Nothobranchius furzeri: one gene and its partner. The protein of the gene in region 1 purifies or fractionates together with the protein of each later gene. This does not show direct contact. Links are inferred from orthologs where the notes say so. Each region holds a gene or a part of one and is shown on either strand. Other genes may lie near its edges.

What was found.
Region 2: the proteins of gli2a (region 1) and sufu purify together in Homo sapiens (affinity purification with mass spectrometry; 3 studies listed by BioGRID and IntAct, with this or other methods). This does not show direct contact. The link is inferred for Nothobranchius furzeri from reciprocal best matches to the Homo sapiens genes GLI2 and SUFU.

What each region holds. Positions count from the first base shown.
Region 1 is NC_091747.1:25,493,806-25,497,318, forward strand, and holds part of gli2a (zinc finger protein GLI2a), read left to right. Parts: intron 1-904; coding exon 905-1,054; intron 1,055-2,078; coding exon 2,079-2,243; intron 2,244-2,815; coding exon 2,816-3,091; intron 3,092-3,513. UniProt on the Homo sapiens protein: Functions as a transcription regulator in the hedgehog (Hh) pathway. Functions as a transcriptional activator. May also function as transcriptional repressor. Requires STK36 for full transcriptional activator activity.
Region 2 is NC_091752.1:22,197,733-22,201,948, reverse strand, and holds the start of sufu (suppressor of fused homolog), read left to right. Parts: upstream 1-1,411; 5' UTR 1,412-1,492; exon of another isoform or gene 1,493-1,582; 5' UTR 1,583-1,610; coding exon 1,611-1,759; intron 1,760-2,719; exon of another isoform or gene 2,720-2,819; intron 2,820-3,244; coding exon 3,245-3,379; intron 3,380-3,597; coding exon 3,598-3,734; intron 3,735-4,216. UniProt on the Homo sapiens protein: Negative regulator in the hedgehog/smoothened signaling pathway. Down-regulates GLI1-mediated transactivation of target genes. Down-regulates GLI2-mediated transactivation of target genes. Part of a corepressor complex that acts on DNA-bound GLI1.

The DNA.
Region 1 (3,513 bases):
CATCCATCCGACGACCTTTAAGTCTTTTAACATGAAGAACACAAGTATTAAGTAGAAAAATCTGGGAAAATGCAATTCAATTCAATTCAATTTCAATTCAAGTTTATTTATAAAGCGCCAAATCACGACAAGAGTCGTCTCAAGGCACTTCACATAATAAACATTCCAATTCAGGTCAGTTCATTAAGCCAATCAGAAATAAGGTTTCCTATATAAGGAACCCAGCAAATTGCATCAAGTCACTGACTAGTGTCAGTGACTATACAGCAACCCTCATACTAAGCAAGCATAAAGCGACAGTGGAGAGGAAAACTCCCTTTTATACACTCTTCTGTGTAAAAACTAGCTTTTTTTATATTTATGCTAAATTTCCCCAAGAAAATGATGACAATGTTGATTTTTAAAACATTCCTTATGAGTGTGATTTGTTGTAGTCCCACATCCGAGACGAGTCGGAGCTGAAAGGAAACCGGCCAATCGTTGGCCGGGCTGTACGGCGAAAATTCAAAGTTTCTCCTCATTTTCACTCCAGTCTCCAAGTCCTCCCAAACTTCTGCTGGTACCAGCCTCTCCCTGGGAAGCGACTGGTGCTGATTTGTTTTCAGTCGCCTCGTAAGGAAGTTCCTCTTCCTGAAGAAAAGTAACGGCGAACGCACACGGCCTGAACAAACAGTTGTTTTATTGCCTTGCTCTCCTATTGACATTAAAACTGTCACCGATAACATATAGAGCCGCCCGTCTTGCTGACGGCGCAGCGGAGGGAGAACCTGATTGTGGGAAAAACACAAGAATGTTCCAACTCACACGTGTCAACACACTCGAGGTTCTTCTCACAGTTACGGCTCTGGTTGTGAACACATGCTCCCGGTGCTGATGATTGACCAGATCTGATTTGTCCACGCAGCACATCAACAATGACCACATCCACGGGGAGAAGAAGGAATTCGTGTGTCGCTGGGAGGAGTGTTCCCGGGAGCAGAAGCCCTTCAAGGCCCAGTACATGCTGGTGGTCCACATGAGGCGGCACACGGGGGAGAAGCCACACAAGTGCACAGTAAGAGCTTGGGTTTAGGAGGGCCTGTCGTGGTGGACGCCTGCTGGTCCCTTTTCCTCTGGCATCCTTCATATTTTACTTCCAAACTAAAAGTTCCAGCTGAACTTCCAACGGAGTTTCAGCCTTCTTTGCTTTGCTGGGGGAGTTTGCAGCAGAGGCCGAGTCTAGAACAGTCTATGGAGATCTGAGGTTTTGTTTCATTAAAATCTGTTCCGGAGACATCTGGCCCACAACACCAGGACATTTCAGTGTGACTGAACCTTTGACCAGGTGCAGCTTTCAGACGGATGGATCCAGATGTCGTTAGTTAGAGGTTTTCATCATGTGATCTGGTCCACATTGATAAATCAAGGCGTTTCCTTGAAGATTAGACTTAGTGCCTGTTTGCTTGTGGCTTCAAAGCTCACTGGCTGGCTCTTGTGAATGCATTAAAACACTTGTGAAGGCGAAACGTTAAAACGCTGACTGACAGCGTGACTGTGTAATTACACTCTGCAGAGGCGCAGGGGGCCAGGGGTCCTTATTAAGTTCAGGCTGTACATTCTCCGTTCAAATCCCACATGCATCTTCTCATAACCCTCCATCTCCTCCTCAACCACATCTCATAAAGTCTTCTGATGTTTTTATCCTCTCTCTGAGCTGCTCTTATATGATTCTCTTTTAATTTCAAAGCCAATTACTCTCACAATGACTGCTTAGAAGGAATACCAAATTATAGCATGTAGAGTACAAGAGAACACAAACGCTAAAACACAGAGTTGTCTTTGTCTCAACAAAGCCCGGCAGGCAGAGCGCACCACCACACCTCACACTTAGATACTTCCCACAAAGTGCTTTTATTTGTTTATTTATTTATTCTGCTAAAGTGTAACAGAGCTTTGCTTTTGTGTGGCACGCCACATCAGGTGGGCACGCATCCAGGACTGATTACACCTAAAAGCTCTTTTGTGTGTGTTGCTGCTTCACGGCTGCAGACTACGTAGCCTGGAGTTACTCCAGTCTGATTGTGTTTCTGTTTCTACAGTTTGAGGGATGCTCCAAAGCTTACTCTCGCCTGGAGAACCTTAAAACCCACCTCAGGTCCCACACCGGGGAGAAGCCTTATGTGTGTGAGCACGAAGGCTGCAACAAGGCCTTCTCCAACGCCTCCGATCGGGCCAAACACCAGAACCGCACACACTCGAACGAGGTTTGTTCATGCACGGCTTTGATGTTTTACAGAGAACGCAACTTTAGCCTCATTATTTCACGATGAAAAATCAAATCAAACTAACATTGAATTGGATCGACATGAAGGATCGAATGGATTCTAACTGCTAATGTCCACCAATCAGATCGTCTGTCTGACATTTACTTTTTAAAAATATAAAGTACTACTTCTAGTCCATCGTGTGTGTGCGTGCGTGCATGCGTGCGTGCGCTGTCTTCTCAACCCCAGTGAGTCGTGGAGGATGGCTGCTTATACTGAGCCAGGATTGGAGGTTTCTTTGTGTTAAAAGGGAGTTTTCCTCTCCACTGTCGCTGCATGCTTGCTTAGTATGAGGATTACCGTACAGACTCTGACACTAGTCAGTGACTCGATGCAACCTGCTGGGCTCCTTATATAAAATCACACACACACACACACACACACACACACACACACACACCTTTAGCCTTTTGTTTAGGTAAACAGAAACACCAGATTCAAAGACTGACGGACACAATTCCATGTAAAGGTGATTCCTACTGGATGTGAATCATTTCAATTCCCTGTTGCAGAAACCGTACGTGTGTAAAATCCCGGGCTGTACGAAGCGCTACACTGACCCCAGCTCTCTCAGGAAGCACGTTAAGACCGTCCACGGACCTGAAGCCCACGTCACAAAGAAGCAACGCGGCGACGCTCCGCCGAGGCTGCAGCCGCCCAAAGGAAACGGGGAGAACGACTCCAGGCACGGATCGAGAGGCGTGGATGGGAAGACCGAGGCCAACAGCACCTCTAGAGGGGCGGAGGACTGTCTGCAGGTCAAGTCTATCAAGACGGAGAACTCAGTGGTGAGTTCAGATGAAGCATCAGCTGCACGCTTCTTCTTTCCTAACCTGCCTTGCTTCAGTCCTTTTGATTAGTTGACTCCTAAACTCAGAGGAAACGTGTTTTTAGACTCTGGATTGTTCCTTATTTCTGTTTCTCCTTTAACCTCCGGCTAATGGACAGACTACTCTAAGGTGAGGTGGCGGTTTTCTGTCTTCAGCTTTAATCATTGCATTATTTTCCTTTTGCATGGCGTGGGTGCATCCTGCCTCTTTCTTCATCCCGTCTCCACACCAGACCATGACACCCCACAGACCTAAATCCAGATGTTCATCAGACAGATAAAACCTCCATCGTGTTCCTTTTGGGCTGGAAATAACTTCTGAACCACAGAAATCATCTTTAATGCTTATTTTATTTTAATAAATGAATCAATAATGAATAA
Region 2 (4,216 bases), on another chromosome or scaffold:
AAACAGATGATATCAACTTGATGCTCATAACATCCATCGGAATCATCACAATCATAGGTCGGCCACGTCACAATATCAAAGCTGAGCTTTTCAGAGTGACGAGTCTGTACGTATATTTTCTGTTCTTAATCTATTGCCTGAAAGTTTCCCTACAGTTTTTACTCACGCCCTCAGTAATAGTTGGGTTCTCTGTAAACCTGAGAATCCTCCTGTTCCCAGGCCATAATGATCAAAATTCAAATTTTTTTTCTTTCACTGTGATCCACGACAGTTTTTAAAATTACTTCTGTTTTTGTACCAGAACAATATAGTTATTATATAGTTGAGCCACAGTGGAAACTTTGTAAAATATGTAAACTACATTAAAATGCACCAAAAATATAAATGTGAAGAAACGTCACATTAATACTGTGTTTTTTTCACAATACTGTCTACAGAACTTTGTAAAATAGATTAGCCTATACACAATAATGATTTAGGAAACAGATATAGATGTACATGAATATAGAAGTGATTTTATTATCACTGTTGTGACCCGGAATGTCATCTGTATGTTTATATGATGTTCATTTAATTTTTTGTATGTAACTGTCTTGATGTTATAAAATAAAACAACTAATAAAGAACAAATTATCATGCAGTTGTCTTCATTGAGTTCTGGACAATAATTAAGTAAAACCCCAAGCTTATTTATAGTTCCATGCTATATGGAGCAGATATTTAGGCGTTGTTGTTTAATGCAATTCAACAAATGCCCAGCTTTATGGTTGTGGTAGTTTTTTTAAATGGTGGTTTTGCCAAATGTATATCAGTGAGTGCAGCCGGCCTTCATGACACATTCACTTCAGTTTTATATTTGATTTAGTTATTTAAGTATTGTGATGATTTGTTGGTTACAAAGCACAAAGAAATGTGAAGAGAACAAGTTCTTAAAAAGACTACATGAACCCAAACAAAACCAGACATGCAATTGTTTGAGTTTACTATTTATAAGGAATGAGTCATAGTTTTAGAAAAAAACAGCCCATTAATGCTGTTCACAAAAGTTTTACTTCCTGGCATAACCTTGTGAAACATAGTTTTATATTAGTTTAGTTATATATTTCTTAAAATCTAAGCTGTAACATTAGTTCATTTATTTATTTATTTTAGTCTTTTGAAATTTCATCTCAGACGTTTCAATGGAAAACACTTTGCTGCGTATTTTAACACCATATGTTTTCAAAAATGAAACTCTAAAATTATGTTATCATCTGCCCCCTGAGAAACTTCTGAATTATGAGGACCCAACCCTGAACATATACCCGCCTTCTTACAACCACTCAGCCAATCACAGTCATGTTTAAATCCATATTTCATTGTCATTGGCTAACAACACCATTCACTCAATGACGTTTACACCGGCCCAACCAATAGTTGAACAATTGAATGCTCCCTTTTCTCTATTTTGTGTACCAGGACGAGCAACAGGCTCCAACAACGTTTTAGCACAGTAATCTATTTCTGGTTACACAATTCGTTTGTGAAGCATTCATGTAGGTGAACAAGTTAACTAAACGGATTATACGTTGTTTCTTTATAGAAAAAAGTGACTTGTTCGAGGCCCTGGCATGGATGAAGTACGGCCTACCAGTGGTGCCCCAGCCCACGGGCTGGTGCCGCTGTTTCCTCCGGGACTACAGGCTATCTATGGAGAATGTCGGCGACTTTACCCCGAGCAGGCCAACCCTCTGCAAGTTACTGCCATTGTTAAGTATTGGTATGTAACATGTTTTGTTTTTGCTGGTATAATTATGCCTGCGTGAAGTTTGTGAATGCGTTTATTTAGCTTTAGCTAAATGCTAGCCTTCAGTTAGCTTAGCCTACGTGCTAACGTAAACAGTTTTGCTAACTTTCTAAACGATCGTGTGGCCAAAAAAAACTGCTCACGCTATATGTGTCCCTTACAAAACACGATACAAGCACAGCAATATTCAAAAGACAACCTAATAAAATAATACGTATACAGAAAATTTGACGTTATAATTCTTAACTGATTTATTGTCAAATATTCAGTATCTTATAATTCTACAGTAATACTTTTAGCATGGTGTTTGAAGAATAAACCTATCTAGGATAATATGTAGATTTCACCTGAACTCTACATGAAGTATTACACTTTAATCCCCAGAATCTCCGGAAAGAGGAAAATTGGGGTGAGGCAACCTATAACGTTGTTTTTTCAGTATAAAACAAGAAAATATGAAATGCAATCTTCATTATCACATTAGACTGTTTTAAATAGGATTTGATATTTGCTCAGTAGTTGTGCTGAGGGTAGAGGTCTTATTCTTAACCCATTTATGATGGAAACTCATATTTAAGCAGTTTTTAAAATGTTGCCAGGGACATTTAATAGATCAAAGAAAGCAAATATTTTATATTTCCATTCCTAGAAGTACAATTCAATTCAAAAATACTTTATTAATCCCAGAGGGAAATTGATTGCTGTAGTAGCTCAGAATAATAATAATAATCAAGTCATCAAAGAGTTGTTGTATATTACAATGGCTGTTGGCAGGAAGGATCTCCACTAGTGATTACTGTTGCAGAGAAACTGAAGAAGCCTCTGACTGAAGACACTCTTCCGTTGTCGGACAGTCTTGTGAAGAGAATGCTCAGGGTTGTCCATAATTTTCTTGATTCTCTGGAGAATCCTTCTTTGCATTATCTCCTCCAGTGGTTCCGAAACTGCAGAAACTCTGGCTGAGTCGTTGAAAGGACCTCCATCTTGTTGGCCAGTGATCTCACATTGCCCATTATGATCAATGGAAGAGATGGTTTGAATTTCCTCTTTCTCCGTTTCCGTTTTGCTCCCGCTCTGCACCCACGCTTCTTGCGTTTTAGCTCATTTGGGATTTGTGGCTTCAGTTGAGGTATTATTTCAGCCTTTCCAATGTTAATCAGCTGCTCCCGATTGTAAACTAGCTTGTTGCCATGGTTACACATCATAACAAATGCTCAAAAAGGGAAAAAAGCTATAAAAAAACGAAGGCTTGAATAATATTATATGTTGTGATGATGATGTTATGATTTAAACAATATTTTCAATAAACTTTAGATGCTTCAGCTAACATCTGTTATCCAGTATCAAACAAGTCAAGCAAGAACTAAATATGAAAACAAAAACTAGCAAGTAATTTTACGCCCCACATGCTAACTAAGTGCTCTATGACTGATGGTTTGCATTTTGCTCTTTTAACAGGCTTGGTGGACCAGACCCTTTAGACTACATCAGCATGTACAGGAACATGGGCTGTCCAGCCCAGGACGTCCAGGAGCATTGGCACTATGTTAGCTTTGGCCTGAGTGACCTTTATGGAGACAATCGTGTTCACGAGTGAGTGAAGGAAAAGTTTTATTATTTTCTAATATGACAAGCCACTTTGTGTAAAAAATATGTAAATTTCTAGTTAATTTAGTTAAAAAGTGGGGTGTCACCAGTCAGTCGGATAAATATTTGCACTATACACCTTTTACAGTGAAACCTTCAACACCACATGCAAAAACCACTGATCTTACTGGCTCATGCTCAGTGTTGCCTCACCGTTCTTGCAGATTTACTGGAGCAGATGGACCCAGTGGGTTTGGGTTTGAGCTCACTTTTAGACTCAAAAGAGAGGCGGGAGAGACGGCACCTCCAACGTGGCCAGCTGAACTCATGCAAGGCTTGGCTCGCTATGTGTTCCAGTCAGGTAAGATTAAATGGTCATCTTTTAGCAAATCTGCAGTGATTGACCTTGGAGAAAAAAATTTGTTTTTTTATTTATTTATTTTTGCCTTTTTTCTTTTTGATTAACTTTTAATGTTCAAGAATTGTTTTTATTCAGTCATGCATCCTCTAGGATAACTGAGAGTGTTGATCGATTCAGCCACAGTTTATAGATCATCTACTGCATGTTTGTGTTTTGCCACCACAGCAGGATGTTGTAAATTTAAAGGTCATGCTTTTTGTGCATGCTGCTTGCAGTTACAGTATTTTGACATCATAGCTGAATAGAAGTCAAGGCAGTTTCATTTGTATAGCACATTTCATGCACAGTGGCAATTTAATGTGCATTCCAATAGGGAGAACATTAAAATTTAAGATTTTTATTTAAAAGTTTCTAGAGTTGGGGCACATTTGAGGTCACAAAGAAGCTGGGTCCATCTGTTTGCAGCATAGTAGCTAAAAGCA